Linked DNA regions of Mytilus edulis. The protein of the gene in region 3 purifies or fractionates together with the protein of the main gene of each other region. This does not show direct contact. Links are inferred from orthologs where the notes say so. Each region holds a gene or a part of one and is shown on either strand. Other genes may lie near its edges. The genes, in order: U3 small nucleolar RNA-associated protein 25 homolog, something about silencing protein 10-like and U3 small nucleolar ribonucleoprotein protein IMP3-like.

Region 1 (11,824 bases), on a different chromosome or scaffold from region 3:
CGGAACGACCGGATACCGATAAAATAAATCCCACATAAATTTTGTTAAACATAATTGGAAATTAAGTTTATACATATAAATAAATGTTTATATTATAATTATTAATATTACATTAATTATTATCAGATGCCGATTTCACTTTGAATAAGTGTCGATTTGACTTTTTCTTTAGCCTAGGTGCCGATTTAACTTGTACCCATAGCGTACTAAATTTCAAGTTGATAGACTTCAACTTCATTGAAAACTACCTTGATCAAAAACTTCTCTCTTCGAGAGAAGCTCTACTGTGATAGTCAACTTTGGTATATTTTTACCCCCTTATTGATAAGATTTCAAACTCCTGTGGAATGACGCACGGACGAACGAACATACGCATAGACCAGAGAGAAAAAACGACAAAAAAAATAAATAAAAACGAAAATATCTAAAGACAAAAAAAAAAATGTAAAAATTAATAATATATACTGGGTTAACCCCATTCCGGTGGTCAAAATGTTAATCATTATTCCAAACGCATTTTTCGAACTAAACGGAACAAATATGATTGAAATAAATAAAATTCAGTTATTTAGCTCTTCGATGATGCATAATATGTTACCCATTTGTCAAGTTTTATCAGTTTAATAAATGATTGAAAATCGGTGATCACCACCCATCATTGTTTTTGCTATTAACCTCTTTCCGGTGCAAAGGTAAAATATAGTATGGAGGACAACTTGGAACACTAATGCACCTTATTTTGTGCATCAAATAACGCTAATATTCTAGTAAAGAAGTACAGATCAGCAAAACACGATTTTATTTAGGACAAATACACAAATTATTTTTGACAAGATGAAAAATGTTGAAAAGTCCAATATATGCAAGATTTTTTTTCTAAATTTAAAAAAAAAAAAAAAATTTCTCATTCAAATTTTTGTTTTACTTTCACTCTTTTGTGGAAATTATTTTAATAATTCTATTTTGATGTCAATAGTGGGAAAAAAATATTTCACAAAGTTTCACTTTTTGAAAATCTACTTTAACTGAATAAATAGAAAAATTACATTAATATTAAACAGTTCTAAATCTATTGTTTGTTGTTTTTTTTTTAATCAGAATAACAGTTTTTGGAATAGTGTTCTGTATATTGGACAGTTTACTGTTCTTTACAGTGTGGACAAAAGAAAGTATCCCCTCTCCGCAAGACTCTAACATCACTACAGAATTGGAGATGTGTCCAGTGACGGCAGTTATCATTGTCACATTGTGCCCATTTGACAAACACAATTCCTGCTAGTTGTCTGATCTCTGAGGGAGATTTCTTATTACAAACACAGCAAGTTTCACCGTCGTCATCATCGGTTTCATCACTGTCACTAAATGAATTCTCAAGACATATTGGTCCTCCTTTATCCTTGTTTAAACCAGATGTACCAAGACCTGCATTAACATCATCCTCTGATAATTTAATTTTTTTTTCAATTTTTTCCATCACAGTTGAACTTTTTCTTTTTACAGGTGCCCTCTTTTTGGTATCTTTTCCTGCTTTGTTTTGATTTCTAGTTTCCTTTTCAACTGTCTTAGGCTCTGCTTTTTTATAGGGTGGTTTAAAAGTTCCTTTCTTTTTTGACTGATTCAGATGATCCATGTTTTTCTTTTTTCCTAAATTTCCTGTGATTGTGAAGTGTTTCCTTTTCTTTTCTGTCTTTTCAACTGAAACAACATTTCTTTTTAGCAGGAATCCGGATGGAGAACTGTTTACTGTACATGTGGTTATATTCGAAGAGATGTTTAATGTGTTCAATTCAATTATTGGTTCTGCGGTATATATTTGAATGTCATCAGAGTACCTGCTTTCAGGAGGAACTAGAGTAAGCAAAGGTTGACTATTTGATTCATCTTGATCTGATGAGATATCTTGTTCCTTTTGGGCTGATGATGAAGCTTCGAATTGTTGTATCGTCAGAGTGGCAGCTTTGTTAAATTGCTGAGAGGAAGTGTTGTCATCTTCTTGTGAAATTTGTGTATTATTCATTGTACTTGCTTCATCTGATGTAGCTGTGGGGTAAATTGTAGCTGGAGCAAGTTCGCTGGTGTCAACAGCTTTTGGGTTAAAAGGATATATCCCACTTTTCCTAAAAGATGATATCAAGTTCTGTGCAGATAGACCTTTCTGGTAGGGAGAACAAGACATTTGTCCTATGTTATACCTTGTAATTTTACATCCTGGATTTTTTCTCATAAACAACTGTGCCTCCCGGTTGTCACAAGCCTTTAATGGTCCAAAACACCCTATATCTAATGGCTGTAAAATGTGGCTACAGTGTGGTGGAAGTATGAAAAGAATGATGTTCTTTGATTCAGCCCAATCTTGCAAAGTTAAGCTCACATGTGAGCGGTGGCCATCAAACAATATAAGAAGAGGAGTGCCAGAGACATCATGTGATACATACTTGAGAAAATGCTTTTCCAGGTACATTTTGAATATTTCACTGTTAGACCATCCAGATTTACTGCATTGGCCATCAGAACCAGGTGGAGTCCCATCAAGAAGTAGAGCCCTGTCAAATTTAACACCCGGAAATACATAATAAGGTGGAACAGCATTTCCAATTGCATTGCCAGCACTAATTATAGTGACATTTGCAGATCTTGGCGATGTGACAGACTGGGGCTTAACAACAATGTCATGAACAATTTTACCTGGGCTATGTTCAGTTTGTAGAGCACTCTCATCCATATTAAATATTTTGTGTGGCTGTTCATGCAGATTGTTTTTGGTCATAATAGTGCCCAACTCTTTGTAATAGTTAGATAGTGTCTCCTTTGATGCACATCTAGCTCTCTGCATGGATAATTTCTGTGGTTTACTAATAGTTAGATTTGGCCATCTTTTCATAAAAGAGTAATACCATTTGTTGCTCAATATATCCTCTTGAGGTTTTCTCTTGCCCATAAACACAGCTAAATCAGTTGCTAGATAAATGACATCTATTCTTGAATAACCATAACCAATGCTGGCCATATGTGCAATGTGGTCCACCATTTTTTTCTCTGTAGACTCATCAAAAAGGTAATTGGAGCATCTCCCATCCACAGAAACCAAACCAAGTGTCCTATCTCTAAGCGTGCTTTCTGGAATACCATAGTTTTTTGCAGCTTTGTAAACAGACATTCCATTTTGTACAGCATCATAGGCAAATTTCAAAGCATTTGGATCATACTGCTTTTTCTTCATTGTAAAAATATCTGTAATAAAAATGAATAGTCATAAACATTTACAAAAGATCAGTAAAATCTTAAATTCAGTTTGAAAAAAATATTTTCATCCCCCCCTTATTTATACCTTCAATTAATTATAAAGCACATTTCTTTTAATAATTATTGTGCAAGCATTTTGTCCTTTAATCACAGTAATATGTTCTTCATATTCATATTTATTAATTTTTATTAAATTCAATCAACATAAATAGTTTCATAAACATAAAAACGAGATTAATAACTTTTTTCTAAAATAAACTGTAAAAGTGTTCATTTTTGTTAATCAGGCTTTCCATAGATTTTTCAGAGTCATATCGAGGCTGTATCATCACGTGACTGTTGTTTGGGACGCCTTGCAAATGGCAGACGAGAAATCAATAACAATAAATCGATTTGGGATGATTATTCAATATTTTTAGATGGCTTGAAATTTTATGGCATATGCATGAATTTGGGAATTATGGAAATCATACTATCATGCGCTAATATATATATATTTACCTGTAATGAAGACTGTTTGACGTATTTACATTTCTTGATGACAGCGATGCACCAGTTGTCTGTAACCTGTAACCCCTGACCCTTGCACGCGCTTTTAGTTCAACAAAAACCCGCAATTTAACATTACACCGGAATCAGGGATACACCGGAATGAGGAGAAGGCAGTAATAATAATGAAATATATACAAAAATATGGAATACATCTATGTTAAACTATTTTATAAATACATAAATTTGAAAAATTTTACCAGGCAAGCGCCGGAAAGTAAACATCAGTATGTTGATGGTTTTCTGTAACTAAAGAAGAAGAACATTATGCCCCTGTACTATCGTAAAAAAGGGGGGGGGGGGATAAAAATTAATTAAATTTTATATTTATTTATTCATTCATTTATTCTTCCCAATTCTAACAAATAATTCCATACTGTTCAGGTTTTCCTGTTGGGAGCTGGTTAGTGTTATTGGCGAATTTGCCCTTTTTAACGCCATTTGAGCCACTCTGTTTTGATTTTCGTTTTCTTTTTCCGAAACCATGCTTTTTTGGAGCCATCTTGTACTTTGACCCGAACTGGTTATGATAGACGGCTCATGATTGGTTGGATGTAAACAAATATATCTTGTTAAAGAAAACATATGAATAAAGCACAGATTTTATTTTGAAATATAATTAATTCACAAAGCTTTATTTTCTGGTTCATTTCAAATCTTAATGTGTAATTAAATAAATTAGACATATTTTTTACTAGTTAAGAAAAGAAACATTTAAATTTTGGCAGAACATCTTTTATCTTATTTATACTATAAAAATGGTTTGTATGTTATTTCCCTCCTTAATTATATAAGTTACATGTATTTAAACATTATAATCCCCCAACATTAATTAAGGTGGTATACTCTCTACTGGTATATCATGTATAAGTGGTATAATTTTAAAATAATAGAAATTGTTCATTCTTCGCCAAAACGTAGTTTATATCGATATATGTTTTAAAATATAATAAAAATGAAAGGTCACCGCACGCTTAGTCTGTTACGGAATAGAAGTTCCTTCATAATATAAGATAAGCTCAAAAAGCTGCTTTAAATAGGAATAAATATTAAAGTAATTGTTCCAAATGGAATAAATGGTATATAATAGTTATTCCAACAGGATTAGATATTATGACAATGTTTAAAACAAAGTTTCAATTGGAACTTCTGTTAGGTGGAACAAATGAACGTTGACAGTCCCAATGAAATAAATGGCGGAAACGGCCCTTTTATAAAGATCGTTTATCAGTCTATTTTTTTGTTGCCGCTTTATTGATCTCTATTCCTCACAGCTATGTATCAGTGGCGGTTCAAGAACTGTTTATAATGGGGGTCTCAATTTACTTAAGGTTCTTGTACTGTTTGAATTTTTGTGAAAATATCCGGTGGTAGTAGGTTCTGGACAGTCTTTAGTCGTATTTGGTATGAAACTATGCATGTTCTTTGTTGTCCTTGTTAAACCCGCCACATAATTTAGGTATGTGCCTGCCCCAAGTCTGTAGCCTGCAATTCAGTGGTTGTCGTTTGTTTATGTGTTACATATTTGTTTTTCGTTCATTTTTTTATTTAAATGAGGCCGTTATTTTTCTATCTTGAATTGTTTTACATTTGTTTTATGTCATTTCGGGGCCTTTTATAGCTGACTATGTGGTATGGGCTCTGTTGAAGTCAGTACGGTAACCTATAGTTGTTAATGTCTGTGTCATTTTGGTCTCTTGTGGACAATTGTCTCATTTGCAATCATACCACATCTTCTTTTTTATACTTGATTTTTTTTCTCAGTTGGTCAGATGGTAAGTTTGCTTGCGCATGTATACTTTTACAGAACAGAATTAGTCTGTTTTGTCTTCTGCGGTATTTTAATGGTGGTAATTGTAGTTGGTCTAAAATTGAAGTCATACTTCCTGGTTCGTAGTTGTAGTTAGATGTAATGAACTTAGTCGCTCTTTTCTGCATGTACATTTTCCAGTTGGTCTTGAAGATGTATTTGATGTGGGTCCCTGGCAGTGCTTGCATATTCTAGGACAAGTCGTATCAGTCCTTTATATGCCTGGAGTTTAACTTCCAGTGGGCATGCTGATAAGTTTCTTTTTAATAAACCTAATGTCCTATAAGATTTGTTGCATATCTCATCTCTGTGCTTTCCCAAATGTAGGTTATTTGTGATGTTAACTCCTTGATATTTAAAAGCTGTTAAAACTTCGAGTACCGTATCTTTTATATTATAACGTGTATTTAAATGGTGTTATTTTCATCTTTCGACTTAATGTCATCTTGTTGAATTTAACTAGTTGGAATCTTATACCCCAATGTGTCGCCCATGCAGTCACCAAGGGTATTTATATTTTTCTGAAGTTCTTTACTACAGTCATTTGTTATTTCTTTATAGCATACACAGTCATCTGTGAACAGTCTTATTTCTGATGTTACATCTTCTGCTATGTCGATCATTGATCTGTACTAGAAATAGGATTGGACCAAGAACTGTCCTTTGAACTTGTGGTACCCCTGATAGGACTGTCGATGTTTTGGACCTTATCCCATTCACTACCACGCACTGAGATCTTGTAGATAGGAAGGCATTAACCCAAAATGAAATCCTTCAATCAAATGCTTCAACAGAAAGGAAAACAAGAATGTGTCCAAAGTACACGGATGCCCCACTCGCACTATCCTTTTCCATGTTCCATGGACCGTAAAAATTGGGTAATAATCTAATTTGGTATTAAAATTAGAAAGATTATACTATAGGGAACATATGTACTAAGTTTCAAGTTGATTGGACTTCAATTTTATCAAAAACTACCTTGACCAAAAACTTTAACCTAAAAATCCCACTATCATTTTCTATGTTTAGTGGACCGTGAAATTGGGGTCAAAAGTCTAATTTGGCTTCAAAATTAAAAAGATTATATCATGAGCAACAAGTCTACTAAGTTTCAAGTTGATTGGACTTCAGCTTCATCAAAAACTACCTTGACCAAAAACTTTAACCTGAACGGACGCACAGACGGACGAACGGACGCACAAATGGACGAACGGAGCCACAGACCAGAAAACATAATGCCCCTCTACTATCGTAGGTGGGGCATAAAAACAACAGTATGATCTATTCTTATATGGACGATTAAAGAAAATTCAGCAGAATAAACATAATGAACACTGTTTGAAAAGGTCATCAATTTAAAGTAACTTTCTAAAATATGTTAGATTTATTTAGATGCGTTTATTTATCGTTCGTTCGTTCGTTTTTAATGAATTTTACACAAAATACTTTACTGTATCCAAATAATTTGTGTGTACCCTACTTTGGTAATTGGTAACAACAATGTATGTCGCATGTAAATATCATCATTAGTATATTAGTATCTATTTCAAATTATCTCCCTCGTACTAGCCATTTAAAATCAGTTATTTAAACGTGGAGTGTATTAAACAGTGGCGGATCCAGAAATTTATATAAGTGGGGGCCCACTGACTGACCTAAGAGGGGGCCCGTTCCTGTCACGCATCAATGATTCCCTATATAAGGCTAGCAACCAAATGTCCCCCCCCCCCTAAATCCGCCTCTGTTAAATAAACTCATATTACATCTCCATCACAATTCTTTTTCATGATTCTTCCTACATCTTGGATTTTGAAGAAGCAGATAAATTTGGTCTAGATATTCGATGAAATGTGCAAATATTGAGCGTTGTATGTATTTTTTTTTAAAATGTAAACGACTTTTGAAATCAATATAGAAAATTGTGTAATTGGTAACAACAATGTATGCCGCATAAATTTTATCATAACTACAGCTGTAATTTCCCCAAAACACCTTGTTAGTGTTTGATTAGATTTTTTCATTTTTGCCAAATAAGGGGAGATAACTCAGATAAAGTAATTGGCCGTTTCAGAATCTAAAGCATCATGGGTAATTTCATTGTTCGTACCCCAAAGTAAAAATAACGTCACGTCATTGGTTAAATTTCCATTGTTTATAACGTTTTAAACCAATCAAAACGCTTTGGTGTACGCTTTTGAAAATATTACCCAGGATACATTAGATTCTGAAACGGCGAAAATAAAAAAGTGTTATGAATTTACCTATTTTTATATGTAGCAAAAAAACAAGTTCGATGACCCCCATTTTTTCTTTTTCTTTTCTGAAAGCATGTTATAAGAGCAATCTTCTCAAATTTTATCTTTAAGTTCTAAAAGAACGTTTTCTTTTTATCACACAAACTTTGATTTCCATGCAAAATCTGTCAATTTTGCCAATTTTGCACAACTGTAGCGTGAAAAAAAGTCCGGTGACCCATAGTTTTTAATATATTTTTGAAAAAAGCATGATAAAAACTTCATTTTGACAAGTCATCAAAAAATTCTATGTATTTTGATAAGACCTTTTAAAATACTTTAATACATTGATCTAGCTAATTAACATACAATTAATTAAACAAAATCTGTCCTTTATCCAATACCAAGCTATTCCTGCCGCCGCCATTACTGCAAAAAACACATGCGACGAGATCAAGCCGAAAACGAACGCCTTTGATAAACAGGAGGACCGTCCGAAGTTACCGAAGCAAGAAGCATCGTTAAGCTTTCGATATTACCGTAATGTATATTGTATTGTGTCGATATCAGTTGTAGTAGCCTTGCCGCCTCTCTCATTTATGCCCGGCGTCCATTTTTATTCGTCTCGGCCAATGAGTCATACATGAACTTTCATTATTTTTGTTTTACACTATTGGACAGTTTATTTATCTCGTTATGATTGCACGAAATATGTTTCACTGTTGTAATAAAGAAATATTCGACAAATTGCAGAAGCAGTTATCGCTTTGTTCTAAATGCTTTGGGCAACACTGGGACCTGTTCAGACAAAGAAACACGATCCGATATTATTTTGCCTAAATCTCCCGTTTTCGATCACACCTTCAGTGGTATCACATTTGTTATGAATAAAAACCGATTTAATGATTTCCTGGCTCTTCCTGTCGTCCAGCACATGTGCGAAGCGATAATGAAAATTTTTCCAGCAGTTTTGCCCATAAATTCGTTTCTTGATTTGTCGAAAGTTTTCATTTGGTGACTGGCTGTCATATGGGACCACCATTTATGCGTTTTATATCTTCTGAGCATGATGTAGCCCAGTGTTACACCATTATGAGTGCCAACAGTTATTTAAATTTAATTAGATGATGAATTTGCTGCACCAACATAGTACAGATGCAATGGTAATTCATTTCTTTTGATTTTGGTCTATTTTAGGTCCTACAAACCATCTGGATGAATGATGCTACATTTGTATTTCTATCTGTCAAGAAATCTTCAAAAATTTGAACTTTTGAACACTTTTATGTCAGACTTGTGCTAAACATTGAATGTATGTCATGTTATGCATGCTGTCATTCTGATTTATGATATATTATTGGAAGCTTTAACTGTGTACCAGTTTTAGCTATACCAAGAAATAATAAAAATGTATAACAAGTCACAATTGTCTTTAAAATTTCATCATTCTAAACAATTACAAAAGACTTTTTTGACAGATGAATTATATACTTGATCCTGTAGGCTAATCAGCTTCATTATATTAGCTTATATTTCCTGGAAAATGCAAAAGGCTTGTTTAATTTGTAAAACTGTCTAGATAGAACTTCAAATTTTTGTTTTCAATAACTAATTTTTAATAATCAGAGTACTGCAAAACATTTGGCAGAGATATAAATGACTTGGGATTTATTAACATTTTTAGATTTTACTGAAAATTCTATTTTAATGCAATTTATTGGATTTAGAATAAAAATTGCTTTTCCGAAATTGTTCGAAGATTGTTAAGATTTACAAATTCTTGATTGCACATCATGCACAAGGCTAAATTTGTTTTACAGTTATTAATCATTTTAACAACAACGAAAAAAACATTTCAAATGCAGCAATTTTTAATTTTTAAGACTTGACAGTTTTGATGGACAAAATGAATCCTAAGAACTTTAGAAACTTTAATTTAGAATTTGAAGTTCTAGATGCAGTCCATTTAACAATAAAGTTTGTGTCATTATCCTTAATTCCTTCATTTTATTCACAGGAACACATCTGTAAGAGTAAGTAAATGTATAATGATGAGTGTTGTGACAGACACATATTGATATATGTGTAAATTGTTTTTAATGATTTACATTCTTACGGGTAGAACTTGTAATATGAAGACCTTGTTTCAGGATTTAAAGAAAAATGCAATGTATCCTGTTCTGACAAAATTTTACAAATCTTGCACATGAAAAAAGGTTTACTTCTGGTCTTAAATTCAAAATTAAAAAGTGTGTATTAATTTTTGTAAATCCAACCCTGATTAAATACACAAAATTGTAATATTTGAGAGCTTTTGATAAAAGTGAAAATTCAAAACAAAAGTTCTTTCAATTAGCTACTACATTGTATATACATGAATTAGTCAGATCACATGTAAGTAAAATCAAGAAGTATATATACTAATACATGTAATAACAAAGCAGTTATTTAAAAATTGCAGTTCTAAAATATTTTGGTAAATGTTCACAACGGTGGACAATGGTTTCAAATACTTAAACATGCCAAATACTCATGGTCCAATTCTATTTTTTTAGCTGGAAAATGGTGAAGATATTTGTGGGAAACCTGAGCCAGTCTACGGCGAGGGAAGATATACAGATGATGTTTGAAAAGTATGGAAAAGTTACTGAATGTGATGTATTGAAAAACTATGGATTTGTGGTAAGTTTGTTGTCGGACTCATCCCTACTGAATGTGATGTATTGAAAAACTATGGATTTGTGGTAAGTTCGTTGTCAGACTCTTCCCTTTTATATACATGTATATCTACCGTTTTATCAACAATTTCTACGTTTCTCCTTCAACATACTGCATCATTTTTTCAAGACTTAAAAAACCAAAAATTTACAAGGAGTTCAATTGTACCTGTATAAGTGCACCATTGTCAAAAGATCACAACAAAACAGCAAAATTTCCTTTAAAATTACAAATTCAGCAGTGATCTGGAAGGATGCACGCCCTGTGCCTATAGCACATATCAACCAAAAATGGTGCATAGAGAGACAAATGTAAAAGCCCACAGACTCATCCGTTAAACAAACTTGTCATGGAAGCAGTGTAAATTAAGTTGAGGAATTTTTGCTACAGAACATTTATGAGATTCATATATTTTTTATGCTGAATACCAAATAATTCTAATAAAAACAAACAAAAATTCCAAGGTTTGATCATCTGTTCATTAACATTTAAATTGCAGAGCAGCACAAGCGTGAAAAGTAAATCAAAAGAGCAGAAAGGCTTTAGGGATAACTACATTGAAATTTTCTAATTGTTTTGTAAATAATATCTTGTCAGAGATTTAGTATAATGTTTGTTAAGACCATTGGAATTTTTCATAGTCTATCTGGGAATTCTGCACGTTATATGTAACTTTACATGTGGATTTTTATGTAAACCTGTAGTTAATTTCAAGTGACTTATATAGAAGTTGTATTTGTTGAATTGGTCATTTCTTAGTTATTATTTCAACATATGGTTAGATATAAACTTTGATTAATAATAAGTTATCAATTAGTAAACATGAACAATTGTATTTCAGCATATGGCAAGTTCAGATGAGGCAGAAAAAGCTATTCAGGAACTGGATGGAGCATCCGTAAAAGGCAGCAGAATGAGAGTGGAGGTATATTCCAACTTGATATAATTTTGTTCCAACAAAATGATTTTTGATGGCAAAGATATTATATTTTGATCACTTTAATAATAAGAATAATATATTTTATGTTTAATAGTAAATAAAACACATTTTATTAAAGAAGAGGAAGAAGAAGGATTATTTATTATAGTGTAACCTGAATATACAAATAACTACATGTTTTAAAATAAAAAAAATCAGCCAGCCAAATAGGCTTATGATGCACTTAATATGTTTTACTCAAGTATTTAGCAGTGAAAAATAATTGTAGACAAAAAGAACATAGTTTCTCCCTGATATCATGCAGTGAAATTAATCACTTTAATACTAAGA
Region 2 (10,718 bases), on a different chromosome or scaffold from region 3:
TACCCCAATGATGATTGTGGCCAAGTTTGGTTTAATATTGCCCAGTAGTTTCAGAGGAGAAGATTTTTGTAAAAGTTAACGACGACGACAGACGACGCCGGACGCCGTACGCAAAGTGATGGGAAAAGCTCACTTGGCCCTTCGGGCCAGGTGAGCTAAAAATGAAGTGTTGAATTCCAAAGCATTTCTAATTATTTTAATTATAAAGATGTTGACAGAAACATCCACTGGCCTCAACTGACAATGAGAAAAAAACTATTGATCAAGAGGGGAGCATCCAACTACACTTTAACCAGATGCTCCGCAGGGCGTAGCTTTATACGACCGCAGAGGTTGAACCCTGAACGGTTGGGGCAAGTATGGACACAACATTCAAGCTGGATTCAGCTCTAAATTTGGATTGTGATTAAATAGTTGACACAGCATAGGTTTCTGACACAGAATGAATGTGTTCTAATGAACTTAAAATTTTTGTTTTCTCTTAGAGCAATTCACTATGCTGTTGAATATTAATCCTCTCAAAAAAATGTTTGAAGAAATTTTCTTTTTTATTTATGAAATTTCAAATGAGAAAAATTGAACCCAATTTTTTTAATCACATCCCCCTTTCCCTTATTCCAAAACTAATCTCAATTAAAATTTCTAATGGAGTTTGCAACAATAACTACTCATTTAAATACATCATAAAATATTAAGATGTAAAAAAACTGCTTGTTATCACTGAATGGTAAAGATTATTCTAATTTATCTGTTGGTAGTAAAAAGTAAATATACATTGTATATTGTATATAACAAAGATTTAAGTTGATTCTGGACAAAGAAAGATAACTCCAATTAAAAAAAAATCTTGCTATTGCACAATATTTTGCAATTAGATATTTTCTTGCTTACTATTCTGGACAAAGAAAGATAACTCTAATTAAAAAAAAATTTGCTATTTCACAATATTGTGCAATTAGATATTTCTTGCCATTGCGCAATACTGTGCAATTGAAAAGACTTGCTATTGCACAATACTTAATATAATAATTTTAGATCCTGATTTGGACCAACTTGAAAACTAGGCCCATAATAAAAAATCTAAGTACATTTTTGGATTCAGCATATCAAAGAACCCCAAGATTTCAATTTTTGTTAAAATCAGACTAAGTTTTTGGACCCTTTGGACTTTAGTGTAGACCAATTTGAAAACAGGACCAAAAATGAAGAATCTACATACACAGTTAGATTTGGTATATCAAAGAACCCCATTTATTCAATTTTTGATGAAATCAAACAAAGTTTAATTTTGGACCCCGATTTGGACCAACTTGAAAACTGGGCCAATAATCAAGAATCTAAGTACATTTTTAGATTCAGCATATCAAAGAACCTAACTGATTCATTTTTTGTCAAAATCAAACTAAGTTTAATTTTGGACCCTTTGGACCTTAATGTAGACCAATTTGAAAACGGGACCAAAAGTTAAGAATCTACATATACACAGTCATGACAGTTAGATTCGGCATATCAAAGAACCCCAATTATTCAATTTGGATGAAATCAAACAAAGTTTAATTTTGGACCCTTTGGGCCCCTTATTCTGTTGGGACCAAAACTCCCAAAATCAATACCAACCTTCCTTTTATGGTCATAAACCTTGTGTTTAAATTTCATAGATTTCTATTTACTTATACTAACGTTATGGTGCGAAAACCAAGAAAAATGCTTATTTGGGTCCCTTTTTGGCCCCTAATTCCTAAACTGTTGGGACCTAAACTCCCAAAATCAATACCAACCTTCCTTTTGTAGTCATTAACATTGTGTCAAAATTTCATAGATTTCTATTAACTTAAACTAAAGTTATAGTGCGAAAACCAAGAAAATGCTTATTTGGGCCCTTTTTGGCCCCTAATTCCTAAAATGTTGGGACCAAAACACCCAAAATCAATACCAACCTTCCTTTTGTGGTCATAAACCTTGTGTTAAAATTTCATAGATTTCCATTCACTTTTACTAAAGTTAGAGTGCGAAAACTAAAAGTATTCGGACGACGACGACGCCAACGTGATAGCAATATACGACGAAATTTTTTTCAAATTTTGCGGTTGTATAAAAAATAAATTGAAATTGTACATCACAACTATTGATAAAATAATAACAGTAGTGAGAGTATTGTTTTTATTGTATATTTTTCTGTTTAATTGCACTTGGTGATGAGCAAATTTTGTATGAATTCAATACTCCAGTTCACAATTGTTTACAAGCCAAATTTAAATAGAGACAAAAAAACATGCTTATTTCCATCCAAACTTCAATTAGGATAGAGAAATCACATACATATCTCTGAAGAAATGAACCTACATGTATATTTATATATTTTGGAAGTAATGAGAGTAAACACATGTTTATATCATGTGAAATATTGTTTTTTCTTTGAGTTTGAAAACACCTTTTCTTCTCTATGGACACAATTTCAACGGTAGATATTGTCCAGACGACAATTCATGTCGGATAACATTATGTACGGTGACAAAAGAGGGACGAAAGATACCAAAGGGACAGTCAAACTCATACATCTTAAACAAACTGACAACGCCATGGCTAAAAATGAAAAAGACAAACAAACAACAGCACACACGACACAACATAGAAAACTAAAGAATAAACAACACGAACCCCACCAAAAAACTAGGGGTGATCTCAGGTGCTCCAGAAGGGTAAGCAGATCCTGCTCCACATGCGGCACCCGTCGTGTTGCTTATGTGATAACAAATCCGGTAAATAGTCTAATTCGGTAGGTCACATTCATGAAAGGGAAGGGGATTGTAGTTACGACGTAAGGAACATATCCGATATCATTTGTGAAACGGTTATTCCATAATGGTCAACCAATTCGTGATGGCGTCCGTAAAATTTACGAAGGGATGATTTCAACTTCACCATTTGGAACTTTTGGTTTAATTAACTGTGAAAAAGTGTTCCTTCAACATAATTTCATAGTAAGCAATATACAATCCTACAAAACCATGGATATAGTTTTCAACTCCTTTTGATGAACCTTTAATCCTATTTATACACAGTTTATTTCTCTTGAAAATTTCCAGTCTAGAGAAAACTGTATGGTCTAGTAGCAATAAAATGGTGACTAGCCTAATGGTCTAGTAGTCCCTAAAAAATCTGGCAAACTGCGAACTGGAACCCATATAAATTTACAAGTTTGTTCTCAATTGATTTATTAATATATTATGTTATTATCAATATTAAATATAGGGACTTCTCCCCAATTACAGAAGAAAAATCAATCTACAAAATGTACTGATGAACTCAAAATCGTTAACTTTTTATTTTCAGACTTTTCTATTTTCCCACATTTGGGCAGAAATCTTTTTTTCTTCCAGTCTGGTTTGTCATGAAACTTTGAGAAAAATATCAGTCTAGTAAAATATACGAAGGAGTACAATAATAATTTCATTTTTAAATATTCTTTAATACGAAAAAACGTTAACCGTGATGACATTTCTTTGTTTACATTGAAAATGATGTCATTAATTAAATGAAATGAAATGAATGACATCGCTTCTAAAATCCCTAACAACAGGGCCAAAATCAGAAATCTAACAGTGTTTCAGTTTATTTTTTAACAGATTTTAAAGTTAAAATATGTGGACTTCATCTCCAACAGGTAAATTATGCCTGCCTACCATTATAAAGTATAATCACAGTCGCTTGAATTTTAGTGATATATATATATGAGAAAAAAAATGAAAAAAATTACTGTTATTTATATAATAATTATATAATAGTAAATTTTTATTTAAAAAAAAAATCATATGTATATCAGTAAATTTCAAGCAACTGTGGTATAATATACATTTAGATTACCTGACAGGAATATCTGATTATGGCACTCCAAGATGAGGGGTCTGTGGGAGCCTATGATATGGCTTATGCTACATGTATGACCAGTAGACAAAGCCAAAGGTATCAGACACTGGAACATTCATTCATGCTATTTTGAACTGGGTTGAACTTGAAGAAAAATATGCAGTTCATAAAAAAAAATGTGTATGTGGAAGCTGAGTTAACTAAATAATGAAATTTTGAATTTCCTTCAAGTAATCTATCTCCGAGACTCTGAAATAAAAAAAGAACCAGAAAGGGGTGTTGGCACTTTTTCTGAGTGCCACATGGAACTTAAGATGAGCTGTAAAACGGCGTTGTATGTTTAACTGACATGCAGTGGTTCAAAGACTCACACACTTTCTCTTGTAAAACAGAGGAGAAATTAATAAGAAAATAATCGTTCTCACTTTTTTGGCATTTTCAATGTTTTCTATTCACGAGCACACGTGGTTTTGTTTTCTTTCGTAAATACTTCCGGTTGGTACCCTTTAAATCTCTGTTCTAAAGAGTACCGAATAACAGTGTAAAAGTGAAATTTCATTAAGAAATGTTCCTTGAAGGCTTAGCTATGTAAATAATAATGTGAAAAGGGTTAAAAAGAATCAAAAGAATCTAAAAATCGTAAATTAATTGAAGACAAAGTTGGTTTCTTAAAAAAAAAAAAAAAAGCAATACGTGAACTCAGTACTTTTTTATTCATATAAAATGTAATACAGAGTGATTGCCCCTGATTTTGTGTGATAGTCTCATTTTAGAATAATTCCTAACCAATAGCATATCCTATTCAGAGATATTTCAGATTGACTAATTATTGATTAATATGATGTTTACCTGAACAGACTGCTGATAATTTCAAAAGAAAACTTAACTTCATCAGGAAGATGTTAGGTACCAGTTATATATCTTTATTACCAAAGTGTATATAAACCATAGGTATACATTTGACAATTATATTTATTACAAATATTTTTGTTTACTATGCAGATTGGCATTTATATTACAAAGTCCCGTAACTCAAAAGGATTTAATCTTTTTTTCCACCAAAATGCATACAGATTGTTTGACCATCACCAGAAACAACTATGCTAAATTTCATGAAATTTTAATAAGTCGTTTTCAAGTTATGGTGCAACATGTGGACACCAGACAGACAGATGGGGCCACATTTAAAAGAATGTCTGTTTCCCCTCCCCAGGGTCTACCCTTTGTAAACAGACCAGGAAGGCAGTTTTTTTTTTTTTTTTTTTTTTTTTTAACTGGATGTGATTGTCATAGCATGGTCACATGAATGGTTTGACTTGTCCAGTCCAGGTCACTTATCAGTTGTTTGTGCTCAATTTAGGTGTATTTATTTAGATTATCAATCCTTCTGCTTTCAAGCACTTTCCAAAAATGGAAACAAATTATTTTCAGGAAAGAATAATTTTGATTTTTCTGTGGAAAATAATTTTTTGACCCGTGTGGGGGGAAGGGAAACAAACATATTTTTAATTTTGGCCTGGACGGATGCTAAACATTTGTATACCATAATATCATATGTCCCGACAGTTTTGGCGTGCATGTTAAAATTAAAATAGGACTAAAAAATGTAATTCTTCTACAAATCAATAAAGATTGCTATGCACTTATGCATGTTCTGAAATTTTCTGATATTAATGAATTAATATTTTATATAATATAAAGAAATTAAAGAAGAACACCTTGACTTATAATGGTTTACTTTTATATATTGTGACTTGGATGGAGATCTAGAGTTGTCTCATTGGCACTCATACCACATATTCCTGAATTAAATTAATTAATTCCTCAATTACCAGCCAAACTGACTCACCCTTTATAATTATATGTAAAGAGTATTTTTAAATGATTAACATTGTGAGTACTGCATTTGGAATGCTTTTATTTTTATCTAAAAAAATAATTATGATGCATAGTTTTGAACTTTTTTGTTGGTTCTTGTTCCAATGTTGTGTAATATATGTAGGATTCACATCTGGATTTTTTGGTTTCATCTTCTGAACAGTGACAATGAAATATAATAGATAAATATTTACATATATATATAAATCCATATGATATAAAGAGAAGGACATAAAGATAGTTATATCCCACACAAGCAAACTACACTGTTCCAAGTTACTGAAAACTCAGAAATTATCGTGAGGTTTCTAATATTGTGAATAATGGGACTAGTGAGTATTGCAAAAGTAAACAGTCACATTCTGATAATTGAAACATAGACCTTCAAATTCGCAATAATTTAACTCGCCTTTTTGTCCATTCTTGATTAATTGCAATTATGGTCAATTATGAATGAATGCAATAATGTCCGAATTTACTGTATATTTCAGAACATAGTATCAGGCTTATCAATCAAATCCAGTAAGTGATAAAAGTTTCTTACAAATGTGGCAAGAACTGTTCAAGTGAGATTGCTTACAAGAGCAGGTGTGTAGAAGGTTAGATTCTCGGAATTTATATGTCCCCCCAACTCATTGCACAGGGTCATCAAACAGGTACAAGTATATCTTTAATACATTACATGTCCAAATAGGAATCCTTTAAAAAAAGTTCGATGATGGTGAAAAACTTATTTACTCTCCCAATTAGAATAGCTGTCAATTATATAATACATATGTAGAATCATATAAATTACTGAAACACAAGTAGATATAATTCTTGATGCTTTTTTTTTTATTTCGTTATACTAGTTCATTCAAGTAAGATTTTTGTGTAATTAAACCCAGAAATATCAGCACTGAAGCAAAAATCTGAAACTTCACTGCGTATAATGTATAAATTGTATAATGGAAATGTTTGGAAGTTAAAATTGCAATAATTTTACATGTAAGCTATGCAAAACATCTGACTTCAATAAATCATTACTGAAAGTGCATAGCCAACCGATTTCTGTGGAAATGAGATATGCCAATACTTCTAAAACAGCATACCAAATATCATTGATTTACCATTGAACAGGCTATTATTTAAACTTGGAATTATTTTTAATTATGGAATTCGCATAATTTCTTGTGTTTAATTTTTTTTATAAATTCCATGTTTATTTTGTATTATGATCTTTTGAGTGGTTAATAACACTTTCCATACAATGTATTTTGGTTAGATAGTGTTGTGCGCGGCACAGCACATTCTATTGAAAATATACTATTTTCTTTGTAATAGAAAGTGTTGTGCGCAGCACAGAACATTTCAGTACAGAATAATCATGGAATTCAAGGCCGTCGGAAGGGGAGGTGCGTCGGGTGCGGTCGCACCCCCTCTTTCAAAAAAAAAAAAAATAAAAAAATATTAGAAGAATTTTCAGGCACGGATGAGCATTTGTTCTCCACGCTGACGGGTTACCGTGGTTTTTCTGTGACAAAATAGGACACATCTGATACAGTTTGAGAGATCATCATTAGTATGACGTTCATTATTACTGACTGACTAGCATATATATTTCGTGATTTGTTTAGGGACCAGCTGAAGGACGCTTCCGGTTGCGGGAATTTCTCGCTGTATTGAAGACCTATGGTTGGCCTTCTACTGTAGTCTGTTGAACTCTGTTCTATGGTCGGGTTGTTGTTTCTTTGACACATTCCCCATATCCATTCTCAATTTCATTATCTATAAAATTGGCAAATTACATTAGATCTACCAACTCATATTTGCAATCTATGAAAAGAAGTACGTATGGTAGTCTTGTAGTAAAGATTCTCCTAATCTCAAAATTGTTTATTGGGGTCAAGGAATTGTATATTAAAAAGGAATGGAAAGGCGGCTCGAGATCAATCGGGATATTCACAGAGCACCCGTAGAGCTATAATCCATGTCTGACTCGTTATATAAAGAATCATGACGGAGGTCCATTTCCTGTCATATAGATCGATCTTTTAAATTCACGGGGTCATCTTGCTTGAGAAGATATAAAGGAGAGAGAAGCCCAAAATCAAGAATAAACGACTATTCCGTGAAACGGCAAGGACTTAGGAATCATTTTAATGCCTCATAGAACATATGTTTGTAATATTCATCATGCAAATTCTTATCAGTATAGACCTCGGTCTTGAACCTTGATTGAGTTCCATCCGGATTGCAAAACAAAAAATACAGTATTATGATTTTTTTTCTTAAAAATACGAAGTTCAAACCAAAATAGTTGATATCATTATGAAGCTGAAACCTTATACTAGCATTAAGCACTTTTTTTCTAGTTTCTGGTAACATTTCTGAATTTTCTACGATTTTTCGAAATTTCAGTTTTTAATTTCAACATTCCGTCAAAACATGTCTTTCAATTTGGGAGTGTAAAACGATTTATTTTGTATATATATTGGAAAGCAGAAAGAACAAAGCGAGAAAATGATATATTATTTTAAAGAAGGAATATTTTCCTACAGTTTGGTCTAAATTACGATTGCTAAATGTTATTGGTACAATGTAAATGATATTTTTTTTCATTCAACATGTTGGAACATGTTAAAACATATGTTGGAAATTTTAAGTAATGCGTCAATAAATACACCAACACGCCGTATTCTGGTAAGGGTTAAATATATAATAGATGTGACATTGGCATACAATTTAATAGTTTAATCTTTTTTCTATCACATAGCACGTGTTGGTTTTATGAAAAAAGACCCAATATGACACGAAGACAGTCACAATCCCCTACCTACTAAATATAACACAAAAAACTACTTCTCAAAAGAGCAGGAACTATTACTTACAGCTCTGTATGTCAAATAAAACAATAACTGTAAAACCCAAAAGGGTAATCCTTAACCTTAAAGCACAGCATAATTTCCTAAATTCTTATTAAAAACGCTTCTTGTATCGTTGGTATTCCTCTTCCAAAGCTTATAAAAATTAAATGCTTCGCCAATGACCAAAATACTCCTGACTTGGCATGGGACAGGCGCATGTAAATGCAACCGATGATGGTGTTTAAATGAGATTTGTAGGATTAGAATCGCCCCTAGCCAAGCTTATCATGTATCCGTCAAAGGATAAAATCTTAAATTGAGAAATTTTCAGAGAGAATCAACTATGTTTTTTCTAAGGATTTTAATAGATGCTTATTAAGCTCCTTGTTTTTTTTTTATAATCCATCATATTGTAATAAGACACACGTACGTCATTCATGGAATTCGTCTTATTACGTTTACTTTTATTATGAACACATTATGTGTTCATAATAAAAGTAAACTTGAAAGACATGAAGCCATGTTGTCTTTAAAATGGGCGTATGACATTTGCGCCGATTTTGAAAATATTCATTCTTTCATTTGCGCTGATTTCATTTTTTCATTTGCGCCGATTTTATATTTGCTCCTAATTAGATTTACAGGTAAGATAATACTTGTACATGTACTATATACTGTACTATACTATTGGTAAAGTCTGGTTATAAATGCTGTTCATTTATGTTAATTTTGATTCATATTGTTCTGAAACTTCATAGTAACATGATAGACATATTGCACACTGAAACGGGTCGAGGAGTCAATTCTTTAATCATCGAGGGCCATACATATCGGAAGATAAGTGTCCTGAAACACATTTTACTAATGTACCATAAAATCGTGTACAGCCAGAGTCACCACGGATTCTATTGTCAAAACACAGAACGAGCATAACCATGTGGTAGATGTCCGAAAGACAGCGGGTACAGTCAATGTAAATTCTGGAGATGTATCTTGAAGGACTTCTTCCACTCAGTACCCGTGGTGAGCAGGGAACAACAGTTATATATAAGTTATGATTGATAATTCATTAAATTTGTACAAGTGGATAACTGAGGAGGTCTATAATGATAAATGAATAAGAACATGACTTGGATTGAGAGTTCATTCATTGGCACTCATACAACTTCTTCTAATATCTATTCACCTGTAATTTACCTGTAAAAAAAATCGGCGCAAATGAAAAAAAAATCGGCGCAAATGAAAGAAAAAATCGGCGCAAATGAAATGCAGATCGGCGCAAATGCAAAACGCCGTTTAAAATCTCTAAATAGATCATGATAAAATGCCAGTAGGTTTATGTTTATATAAGAATGATTTATTTTATCCGAAATAATTACGGAACAAAAGTGATGTGTGCAATCCATTGTTTTTATCATATATATGAAATTGTAATGTTAACTTTGAAAGGTACCACTGTTATATTGATTTAATATGTTGAAATAAAAAGTACCTTCAGTACTAGTTCGATCAATGATTTATACGCTTTCTTCAATTAAATATCTCCCTATTAACCGTTTAAAAGCTTATTAAAAGAGTATGGATATTCATGTATTTAACGTTCTGAGAACACATTAAACCCTGAAATTGGCTTACCTATTTTCAAAAAAAATCTAAGCTGTAGGAGGGGAGTGCCCCTCCCACACCCACCCCCTTCGCACCCCCTCTTGACAAAACCTTCCTACGGCCCTGGAATTTATTAAAAATTTCAATAACAAGAAATCAAGCAAATTCCATAGTTAAAAATAATTCCAAGTTCAAATAATAGACTGTTCATTGGTGGTTTCACTTAAATTGACACACCGACAAAACTGATGGAAACAGATTGCTTAAGTAAAATCACTCCAACTATTTGAAAGCAAAACAAATACGGACTTCCCTTGTTTGATAATTCACCATAACACCCATATTCACATCAGACAGCAAGGTTATTAAAAGTATCAAGGCATGATTACCTATAATCCAGGATCATGAATGAAACCATCTACAGATTCCAGTCATATAAAATAAAAATTTCATTTCTGTCTTCTTTATTGCAACAAAACATTCAGTTTCTGTGTTGGAAACATGACAAAATATTTAGTTAAA
Region 3 (11,041 bases):
TTTTTCCTTCCTACCGGCTAAAAAAATGGGTAAATGAGTTTGTACTGAACTTATCATTTCACTCCCCCCCTAAATATGACAAAAATCATTGCCAATATTTCAATATAAAAACTTGGCTTTACACATGGGTGTAGCTGGCAAATGACTAGAGACACTGTATATTTTGTACTTACACACAGTAACTTTCTCCATTACTTGCTGTTTTACAAGTAGCTCCATTCAAACAAGGATCAGGATAGCATGAAGGAAATGCTGCAAAATAAAACATTCATAGTTCATATAAAAAAGAAGATGTGGTATGATTACCAATGTCATACAACTCTCCACAGAGACCAAATTGACACAAAAATTATCATGCATTTTCTTAATTCATGAAGGTTGCTATTCCAAATTATTGTTAATTAATAAAGTAGATTTTCTAACTTCTTTTGAACTTTGAAGATATTCTGACTATATATGAAAATAAACACCCGATTATATTTATATTTAAGTACTTCAGTACACTGAAAGTATTTAAGATGATAAACATGTGCTGTAACCTCATGGAAAGAAATTAACTTTACAAAACAAAATATTATATTTTTGTCAAGAATTTTATATTTTTGGGGGAAATTTTTCATAACTTTAAACATAAATGACATATCTGGGTTTTTAAAAATGTGTGCTGGTACATTGTATATTTTAAATTACATTGTACAAAATGTTGTGAAACAAAATTCTAACACAAGTACCAAAAAGATGTATACCAGGTACTTTTTATCTTTCAGGTGAATTTTTTAATGATGACTGTTGTTTTTTTCAAAATTCAAACCAGAAACAAGGAGATTTTTTTCATTGTATTAATTCTTCAGTGGGTATATTGTAGTACTGGTATAATCACTGCATGATATTTTTGGGAAAAACATCAAATACATGTAGTCATTAATAATATGAAGCAAAACATATTTTTTTCTTGTATTCTGCATTTAAATGCATATGTTGCTAGAATTGTACAGATTGTGTCTTCAAGATCCTGTACTTTTAATGACATTGCTGTACAAAATCTACTATGAAGTACAGCAACTGATACAATGATTGATATTGAAGTTTACCCTGGATTCATCAATTTCAAATTAGCAGTATCAGTACCACTGACTGATCTTTGATACAGTATAATTATCTGGTCTATTGTTTTTGTGTTGTTTTTTGTTTTCTATTCCACATTATTCTAGAGTTTAATGTTTTTCCTACAATGTACATGAATATTTGGTGTTATTCAGTACTACTTTTTGTTGTTCCATTGATGGAGAAAAAATGGGGATATGGGGGTTTGAGATACAATGTATATTAAAAAAACATTAACACCGTCATATATTCATGTACCTCTCACAAGTCAGGAACTCACAAGTCAGGAAATTTGTCAGTGTTTATTCTACATTATGCTTTTTGTAAATTTATATCCCAAATGTGACCCATTGGGTGTTTGGTCTTTTCCTGTTCAAATAGCTCAAACCTTTTGAAAAAAAAGAATACTGTTAACTTAATGTAATTTTAAACCTCTACTAAAACTGAAATCAAAAAATACTTTAAAGGTTTGAACTGTTTATTTTAACTATTAAATGTTTTTAATATGCTATAGTATTTTATAACCTCATCAAGAAATTGAAATCTCATTCGATAATATTTTAAACAAACAAAACTTGTTTATAATATAATCATAAGTGCATCAATACATTTGTCCTATGACATCATCTTGCATGAAAACAAAGAAGGCACGCGCAACGAAATGTGTATTGCCTATGTTTCAAAACATGATATCTTTAATTTCAACAGTTATTTTTTCTCATATATCATGTATAACAAATTAAACCATGATTAGTAGCAATTAATACAACATTTAATCTTTCAGAACTTCATGAATTCTTTAAAATATAAAAAGACAAGCATACAATTGTTTGAAGTATTCATCATCAATGTATTTCGATGCATGGGTATTTTTATCACTAGGACATTACCTTCAATGAGGATAATTTGATGTGCAATCAACACAGCCGTCAAAAACCGTGCAAAAACCAACATAACTCCAAAATCATAATAAATCCCTTATGGAATATTCACATTAAATATCCAAACATTACTCCAAATTCAAAAATAGCACTGCAAATATACTTTTCCAAACTTTTAACATGATATTTTAAACTCCATCGTCGAATACACAAAACTTTTACAACTCGTGTTGATTTACAAACAAGCACCTTGCAGATTATGTCACTACGCGTAATTATCAAGGTACGGACTTCACAAATATTTGATTATCTCATATATGTGCAATATAATTATTTATGAGAAGATATTAGTTAAATCGCTTTCTAAACTGTCTTTTTATTGTTTGTGGTTTGCATTGATAAAATACTTTAACCGTTCTTTTGACTGCCCTATTTTATTCCGCACACCGCATCACAACTTAAATCACTTTTTGTTGACTTTGAAGTGTAACGTTAGTTCGCGGGAGTCAGACGGAGACACCGCTAGTCACGCTTGGATTAGCGTATAGGTAACTGGCACACGACTCGTGTGTGCTTGACTGGTGGAATGTATGCCCGTAGGAAATAATAAATAAAGATGAAACTTTTGAAAAAGTTTCAGTGCGCTTAATATCGTTAAAATGCTACTATCAAAAATTGAATTTCACTCATGTTTGGGAAAATCAATGTACCTTTTAAAAAAAAAACGATTACTTTTAGCAGTCGTGAAAAAGCTCAATGAAAATTACATCTTATTTTGTCTCTTTAATGATGATAATTCAATAAATGGAAATAAACTAAGAACCTACAGAAAATTTAAAGTAAGGTATAAACTAGTACCTTTTATTGAATTTAGATAAAAATATTACAAAAAATTATGCTAAAATAAGAATAAGTAACAGTATGCTGGCTGTTGAACGCGGTAGATACAAAAAATGCCATAAAGAGGTGGAAGATGAATTCCATTTTATCACAACATGTTCAGAAATTAAAAAACTAGGATCAAAATGTTTAATGAAATTTCTAGTATTGTCCCCAGTTTTAATTCAATGAGTGAAGAAAACATATTTGATTTTATATTTTCCTGCGAAGAATGTGATATTTTACTTATCATTGTTAACTATATAAGTGAAATGTATAATGAGAGAAATAATCATAATGTCAATATATGAACTGTGTAATTGATGGCTCAACTTATGATGTTATATATAAGCATAATATTTGAATTGATAATTTCAAAGAGGAGGCATGATGTCAAAAATAGTATTATAATTAATATTAATAATCAATATTTTTTTTCTTTCAATGCTACATGTTTGTAGTGTTTAAGGTCTATCGTTTTGTAATTAATATGCCTGTCTGTCTGTTTGTTTGTTTTTGTTTTGTATTTTAGTAACAATCCTATTGTTTGCATTTTAGACTTATACAATTCTTATTCTTATTCTTATCAATCTTGGTGTCCGTCGTCGCCCGTTATAACTTAGGGACGACATCAAAAGTTAAATGTAGGACGAGAAACTCAATTCACATAAATAGCTACGTTTTTTTTCACTGAACATCCATGACACACTCAGACATGCCCATATGTCGATATTGTCGATACAATATCGAATCGATATCGATTTTGTGTTTTTATAAAGAATGATGACTCAATGATATGTCGGATGTTACAATGGGTCGTGATAAAGTTTATAGAAAACTTAAGGATCTAATAACAAATATTATCACGTGTACATATAATTTGTATTAGTTGAAATTGACACTTGTTTGAAATTTGTACAAAGTTGTGAATTGAAACAACACATAACAAGGGAAAATTTAAATGTCGATATCGACGATATCGGCTGTAGTTTAAGATGAAAATAACATAAAATCGATATCGTAGATATGGACGACATAGCCAACATAATCAAAGGAATAAATGGACACTTGTTTGAAATGTATTTAAAGCTAGTTCAGAATTAATGCTTCACATTACGAGGGGAAATTCAAATACCGATATCTATTCTTTATCGTCGATATCGTCGTTTTCGACACTATTTTAAGAAGCATACAATGTACACGATTCAGAGCAACAAATGCAGATTGAAATTGGAATGTCGATATCGAGTCTATATCGTCGATATCGTTGATATCGACACCTAAAGATGAACCAGAACAACTTTTACATGTTATGCATGTAGATTAATAGTGGTAACCTGAACATCGATATCGTTACGATATCGTCGATGTTCACACATACAGATGAACCAGGGAGCCTGACGAAGTAGATGATATAGGTAAATACACGATGTATATTTAGCGTTCCGATTATACACCGTGAAATAGTGATTGAGTTGATATCGATATCGTAACTACATCGTGTCTCGGACATACCTTGTACGTAACATTGCTGCAAACAACAACGTTATCATCTAGACAAGAAACTAGAATAATAATATAAATACAATTTGCACAGGCACTTGTCTCAGAATAAATCCTATACCTTAATGTATGTAACATATAAGGTACATGCCGTTTTACTCGTTTTCTACTGATATTCACAATTTTATCAGATAGAAAGAAAATGACCCCATCTACATATTTGTAGAGAGAAATGAAAACAGACAAAATATTTTCAGTAAAACAAAATCAACAGATAAGACATCTTAGTCCTGAATCATAGTCTAGTCTTTAATGTTGGAGAGAGGCCCTTGTTTATAAGGCACAACGATCAAGATGAGCGACACAGTCTCCTTAGAGCCTTTGGGTTTTTACTTGATGCTAGTAGTTCTCTCGTCCGCAATCATATCACACCTTCTCATTTTTATCATAAGGACACTATACCACGCCTTTCAGTGACAGGACAAATGGATGGGGTGATTTTTTTTATGCATTAGAAAAAACTCAAACTTGAAAGCAAAAGGAGAAAAGGTTGCAATGTTCCAACTGAACGATTTTTAATCACTCAGACATAATTATGCTGGTAAAAAGGGGGGGGGGGGTATAGATACAAAACTTGAACGATGTTTTTTTTCTACGCCAAAAGTTTGTATATTTTGTAATATATTCAAAATTATAATTATAAAAAAGTAACATTGCAGTTTCTATATTACATCTATTTCCAACGAATTGTGGATGTCCTTTTGAAATATTCCGCTTCTTTTCACTTTGGTAGAAACGCAGTATATCAACACCAATTAAGAAAAAAAAATTATATCTATAGGAAAGGAAAAACGACCCGCTTCTCATGAAATAATAACCATAAGAAATATCAGTTTGATTCTAGATGACTCATTTCAAGCTTTGGGCCCTTTATAACTTGCTGTACGGTGTGAGCCGAGGCTCTGTGTTGAAGATCGTACTTTGACTTATAATGGTTTACTTTTACAAATTGTGACTTGGATGGAGATCCCGAGTTGTCTCATTGGCCACTCCTATCTTCTTATATCTATTGTCATATTATTTTTAATTCATAACAGTAATGTTATGATAAATCAGCAATAAAATGGACACAGTTAGTTCCTGTTGAAATAACACTTGTTTGGTATCTCCAAAAGGCGAGCAAAGGTCATCAAACAATTCTAAAACTAAAATTTCAATATCTATACAGCCGATTCCATTGGGTGTGTAGGCAAAGGTAATATCTTTTGTTAGCTTGCTTTCTAGTTGAACCGAATGGTCGTCCCCTTACCTCCCCAACAGATGCCAATTTAAATAACATTAGAAATTAAGCAAAAATAATAAACACTTGTAAAATTATTGATATTTATAAGTTATAATCTTATAAATTTGTTCTTTTAAATGCAAATTCACATTTGTTACTGCATGATTCCTGCATCAAATTTTGATAATTTGATTGAAAATCTGGACCTTAGATTCTCTGTTTTTCACAATCCAAGATGGCGAAAGAAATCCATAACACCTTAAAACACTGTATCGGTACAGATTTAATGGGAGCATTTGCCTACCAAGCCAGTTTCCCAGCCTGGCAGTCACGGGCCTTACTGCACCAGATCGATGCGCATTTCGACGATACTGAAATGTCCCTTCAGTGATACTCGAGGCTAAAATATTTGAAAATCAAAAACTTATTAAAACGACGAAGAGCTTTAATCCAAAAAGGTACAAAAAGTATAGCAAAAGCCGGAAAAGGAATCAGAGCTTTACACGAGGTAGAAACATTCCTTAATTTAAAATAATTTTTAACATTTTGTAACAGCAAAATTTTTAATAACAAACAAATCTGTATTTTCATGTCTGGCTACTGGGCTGGTGGTACCCCAGGGACTAGTCTAATAGTTCACCAGCAAATGCATGTACCCTTTGGTATATTTGCGGAAATATAACATATCTGTTCCGAGTCAGAAATATCTTAAACTGTACTTGCTAACTTCCGGTTTACATTTTGCATGCTCTCAAATCTTAGAAACAGTAAATATGGTCAGAAAACTAAAATACCATGAGAAGAAGCTTCTTAAGAAAGTCGATTTCATTTCCTGGGAAGTCGACAATAATTTACACGAGGTTAAAGTGATGAGAAAGTACCACATTCAAAAACGTGAAGATTACACAAAGTGAGTTAAAAATTTCCTACACTGGCACTGGTTACAACTTACAGTCTGACCACAGAGAAGTCCAAATAATTATGACGTCTTGAAAGGCTATTATAATTTTTCTTTGACGGCTTACTTCGACATTGAAGTAAAGCATCAAAGAAAAAAATTATAATAGCCTTTCAAGACGTCATGACGTCGAAGTAAGGCGTCAAAGAAAAAAATTATAATAGCCTTTCAAGACGTCATAATTATTTGGACTAACTACAGGGTGCGTATCATAGATGTTGTAGGTCAGAAAATGTGCCAGTCGACTGGTATGCATTATACATTGTGTTAATAGCATAACGCATGTCATAGTAGACATAGATTTTTTGATTTCATCTAATGATAGGTGCTCCTGTGGTCTGACTACTGTACAAAATAGGTGCAATTCAACTATATGCCTATAGACAACTCAATTCTCTACGAAAAGAAGATAAGGACCCTCTACAATAACAACTCAGACTACTTATAAAATCAGAGTTTTGAAGAAATATATGATTTAATGAAAAAGATTGTGTCTGCCAGATGAAAGTCTCTAATAAAGTTTTAACTCTGATTTTGAGTATATAAATAACAAAAAAGGCAGCTCAGACCTTCTAAGAAGATTTTTCTATATAGACAATTTGCCGTTTCAGAATCTAATGCATTCTGGGTCATATTTTCAAAAGCGTTAACCAAAACATTGTAATTGGTCAAAAACGTTCTAAACAATGGAAATTCAACCAATGACGTAATGTTATTTCATTTTGGTGTACGAACAATGATATAAACCATTGTCCTTAAGATTCTGAAATTGCGAATTGAAAGATGCTCCCTTGATTTCTATTTTTCTGATGTTTGAACATAAAATGATTGTGCAAGTGGGACATCCATGTACAGTACTATGGACACATTCTTGTTTATCATGTTGGAAAATTAAGCAACATGCATATGATATTGATATGTAAAATATAACAATTGATTATTTATAATCATTTATATAGCTCAAATCCTCTTATAAAACTCTGTCTTAGTTGTCATTGACTCATTAAAGATTGTCCAAGCTGATTTATTGACTGGCCAAGTCGTCTTCATAGACAGTCCATGTTGTCTTATCAGTTAGTCAGGTTTGACTCCGTCAGATGACGGATTTTTCTTCAGGCTGAATTGTGTCACATTTGGAAAAATAGAATTTGCACTGTAACATCAGAACAAATTTGAAAGTCATGAAAGTAGTCTATATTTTGTACTGAAATGATGCATGATCATTGCCACATGCATTTGATTTTCTCATTGTTTCTTGTAAAAGAAAAGGAAGAATATACACATTTATTGGGAACAAGACTTAGAATGATTGCTGGTGAAGAATATACACATTTATTGGGAACAAGGCTTAGAATGATTGGTGGTGAAGAATATACACATTTATTGGGAACAAGGCTTAGAATGTTTGCTGGTGAAGAAGTAAATGAATCAACAAAACTTATCTGATGATTGTCCTTGTTATGAATTTATATATATGACATGATTTTTGATGTAAATAAAGAAAAACTCCAGTTAGCAGTTATATTTTGTTTGTTTGAAAGTATACTTTAATTCAATAAAAAACATAATAGTTAATACCTATAACAACAAATATACAAAGTCAGCTTATTACTGATCTTTGTTCAGATAAATATATATGACTAAATTATCCAAGGTGAGCATCCCCAGAAAACTCATTTTGTTAGCTCACCTGGCCCGAAGGGCCAAGTGAGCTTTTCTCATCACTTGGCGTCCGGCGTCCGTCGTCGTCCGTCGTCGTCGTCGTCCGTCGTCGTCCTGCGTCCGGCGTTAACTTTTACAAAAATCTTCTCCTCTGAAACTACTAGGCCAAATTTAACCAAACTTGGCCACAATCATCATTGGGGTATCTAGTTTAAAAATTATGTCCGGTGACCCCGCCAACTAACCAACATGGCCGCCATGGCTATAAATAGAACATAGGGGTAAAATGCAGTTTTTGGCTTATAACTCAAAAACCAAAGCATTTAGGGCAAATCTGACATGGGGTAATATTGTTAATCAGGTTAAGATCTATCTTCCCTGAAATTTTCAGATGAATCTGACATTCCGTTGTTAGGTTGCTGCCCCTGAATTGGTAATTTTAAGGAAATTTTGTTGTTTTTGGTTATTATCTTGAATATTATTTTAGATAGAGATAAACTGTAAAAAGCAATAATGTTCAGCAAAGTAAGATCTACAAAAAAGTCAACATGACCAAAATGATCAGTTGACCACTTTAGGAGTTATTGCCCTTTATAGTCAATTTTTAACCATTTTTCGTAAATCTTAGTAATCTTTTAGAAAAATCTTCTCCCCTGAAACTGCTGGGCCAAATTATTTGAAACTTGGCCACAATCATCATTGGGGTATCTAGTTTAAAAATTGTGTCCGGTGACCTGGCCATCAAACCAAGATGGCCGCCACGGCTAAAAATAGAACATAGGGGTAAAATGCAGTTTTTGGCTTATAACTCAAAACCAAATAATTTAGAGAAAATCTGACATGAAGTAAAATTGTTAATCAGGTCAAGATCTATCTGCCCTGAAATTTTCAGATGAATTGGACAACCTGTTTTTGGGTTGCGGCCCCTGAATTGGTAATTTTAAGGAAATTTTGCTGTTTTTGGTTATTATATTGAATATTATTATAGATATAGGTAAACTGTAAACAGCAATAATGTTCAGCAAAGTAAGATCTACAAATAAGTCAACATGAACGAAATGGTCAATTGACCCCTGTAGGAGTTATTGACCTTTGTAGTCAATTTTCAATCTGCTTCCTTTGTTTAATATTCACATAGACCAAGGTGAGCGACACAGGCTCTTTAGAGCCTCTAGTTAGCTATAAAATGATATGTTTAATAAGACATACTCAAACAAAAAATAAATTCCAAATCATTTTAGTTGTAATTATTTCTTTTTTGGTAATCAGTTATATATATTGAGGGGAAATCTTTTTATTTAAAACATGACAGCATCCATCAACAGAATGGGAACAGGTAAATGTGCAAGCTCAATTGTTAGAAAAAAAGTTAACAATTTGGGACCATTTGGTAGTACATTTTTTTTTCGTTTTATTGATATTTTCTATCAATTATTAATATCTATGGCAGTGTTGGTTAATGATGCAGGAATGCATAACCTGTGTTGTCATCCATAAATTGACATCAATTGATTTTTATTTTTAGGTACAATAAGTTGTCCAGACATATAAGAGAGCTTGCCAGAAAAATCAAAGAAGTTGACGAGAAAGATCCATTTAGAATAGAAGCCACAGCTCAACTCCTTGAAAAATTGTAAGTGTCTTCAGTGTACTGTAATCAGAAGTGGCGGATCCAGAAATTTTCATAAGTGGGGGCCCACTGACTGCCTAAGAGGGGCCCGCTTCGGTCATGCTTCATTGAATCCCTATATAATTAACCAATTTTTTCCCAGAAAAAGGGGGCCAGGCCTCCTGAAAAACCCTCTAAATCCGCCTCTGAACCACCTTCAAATTTAGGGTCTTTGTATTGGCTGATATAAATACAATGTACTTGAATTAGGCAAAAACAAAATACATTTGCTGCCATTATGAACCTAAAATGGTAAGGTTCGTCAAGTTTATTTTTATGAGATCATCAGTAGTGAAATGTAAACGCACCAATTTTCATCAATACTTTTATGTTTTTGCTAAATGTAAGTCTTAGAAGATTATGTGTTAATACATTTTTATAGAATAAGACAAATTGGATTTTTGCTCTCAACATAAAAGAATGAAATAAGTAGAAAGATACAAATGGCAAAAGAACAATATTGTAACAACATGCAAAAGCAAACATTGTTTGTCTTGAGCAATATACACTTTTCTTTTTAATCTGACTGTTTGTTCCAGTCAGTATTAATTAGAGAAGTAACTTTTCCCTATCATTCTGCCATTGTGTGCACCTTGCATTTACAGTCAGAGTTTGTATATTTTCCCCAAACTTTGCAGATATCCAGATTTGAAGTTTTAATTTTATTTCTGGTGACCAGCTTTTGTCAGATATGTAAATCATGCTCTAAAATTGAAAAAAATACATTATTTAGGTTGCTACTGTTATATATATTATAATTATAAATATTTGTAAAATTGACTTCCTATTCAACAAATACAAAATGAGTTTCATAATTCAGTGATATTACCCACATCAAAATTCAAAGAACACAGCTTTACCAGTGAATGCCCCTAAAATACTACACCTTCATAAGAAATACCAGGAATGTAAAATTAACAATAGGATGTCCATTGGATTTAAGTATTCATAAATTACATTAATTTTGTCCATATATATGTCTATCCACACATCTCTTTCTATTCAGTTTTTGTTCTCAAAAGAAATAAATATGTAATCCTGGATCTGTTTCCTTGAAATATTTTGAACATTATTATAAATATGTTTTGAAGTACTGATATGTG

The links.
Region 1: the proteins of U3 small nucleolar ribonucleoprotein protein IMP3-like (region 3) and U3 small nucleolar RNA-associated protein 25 homolog purify together in Homo sapiens (affinity purification with mass spectrometry; 3 studies listed by BioGRID and IntAct, with this or other methods). This does not show direct contact. The link is inferred for Mytilus edulis from reciprocal best matches to the Homo sapiens genes IMP3 and UTP25.
Region 2: the proteins of U3 small nucleolar ribonucleoprotein protein IMP3-like (region 3) and something about silencing protein 10-like purify together in Homo sapiens (affinity purification with mass spectrometry; 3 studies listed by BioGRID and IntAct, with this or other methods). This does not show direct contact. The link is inferred for Mytilus edulis from reciprocal best matches to the Homo sapiens genes IMP3 and UTP3.

The regions. Positions count from the first base shown.
Region 1 is NC_092346.1:5,173,562-5,185,385, reverse strand, and holds the start of U3 small nucleolar RNA-associated protein 25 homolog, read right to left. Parts: upstream 4,334-11,824; 5' UTR 4,295-4,333; coding exon 4,170-4,294; intron 1-4,169. Other genes in the region: uncharacterized protein, read left to right, coding at 8,992-8,999, 10,392-10,518, 11,396-11,479. UniProt on the Homo sapiens protein: Component of the ribosomal small subunit processome for the biogenesis of ribosomes, functions in pre-ribosomal RNA (pre-rRNA) processing. Essential for embryonic development in part through the regulation of p53 pathway.
Region 2 is NC_092344.1:32,511,248-32,521,965, forward strand, and holds the start of something about silencing protein 10-like, read right to left. Parts: upstream 4,384-10,718; 5' UTR 4,304-4,383; coding exon 4,293-4,303; exon of another isoform or gene 3,865-4,292; intron 1-3,864. UniProt on the Homo sapiens protein: Essential for gene silencing: has a role in the structure of silenced chromatin. Plays a role in the developing brain. Part of the small subunit (SSU) processome, first precursor of the small eukaryotic ribosomal subunit.
Region 3 is NC_092345.1:65,186,312-65,197,352, forward strand, and holds the start of U3 small nucleolar ribonucleoprotein protein IMP3-like, read left to right. Parts: upstream 1-6,355; 5' UTR 6,356-6,422; coding exon 6,423-6,559; intron 6,560-9,794; coding exon 9,795-9,902; intron 9,903-11,041. Other genes in the region: neurogenic locus Notch protein-like, read right to left, coding at 174-252, 1,995-2,058. UniProt on the Homo sapiens protein: Component of the 60-80S U3 small nucleolar ribonucleoprotein (U3 snoRNP). Required for the early cleavages during pre-18S ribosomal RNA processing. Part of the small subunit (SSU) processome, first precursor of the small eukaryotic ribosomal subunit.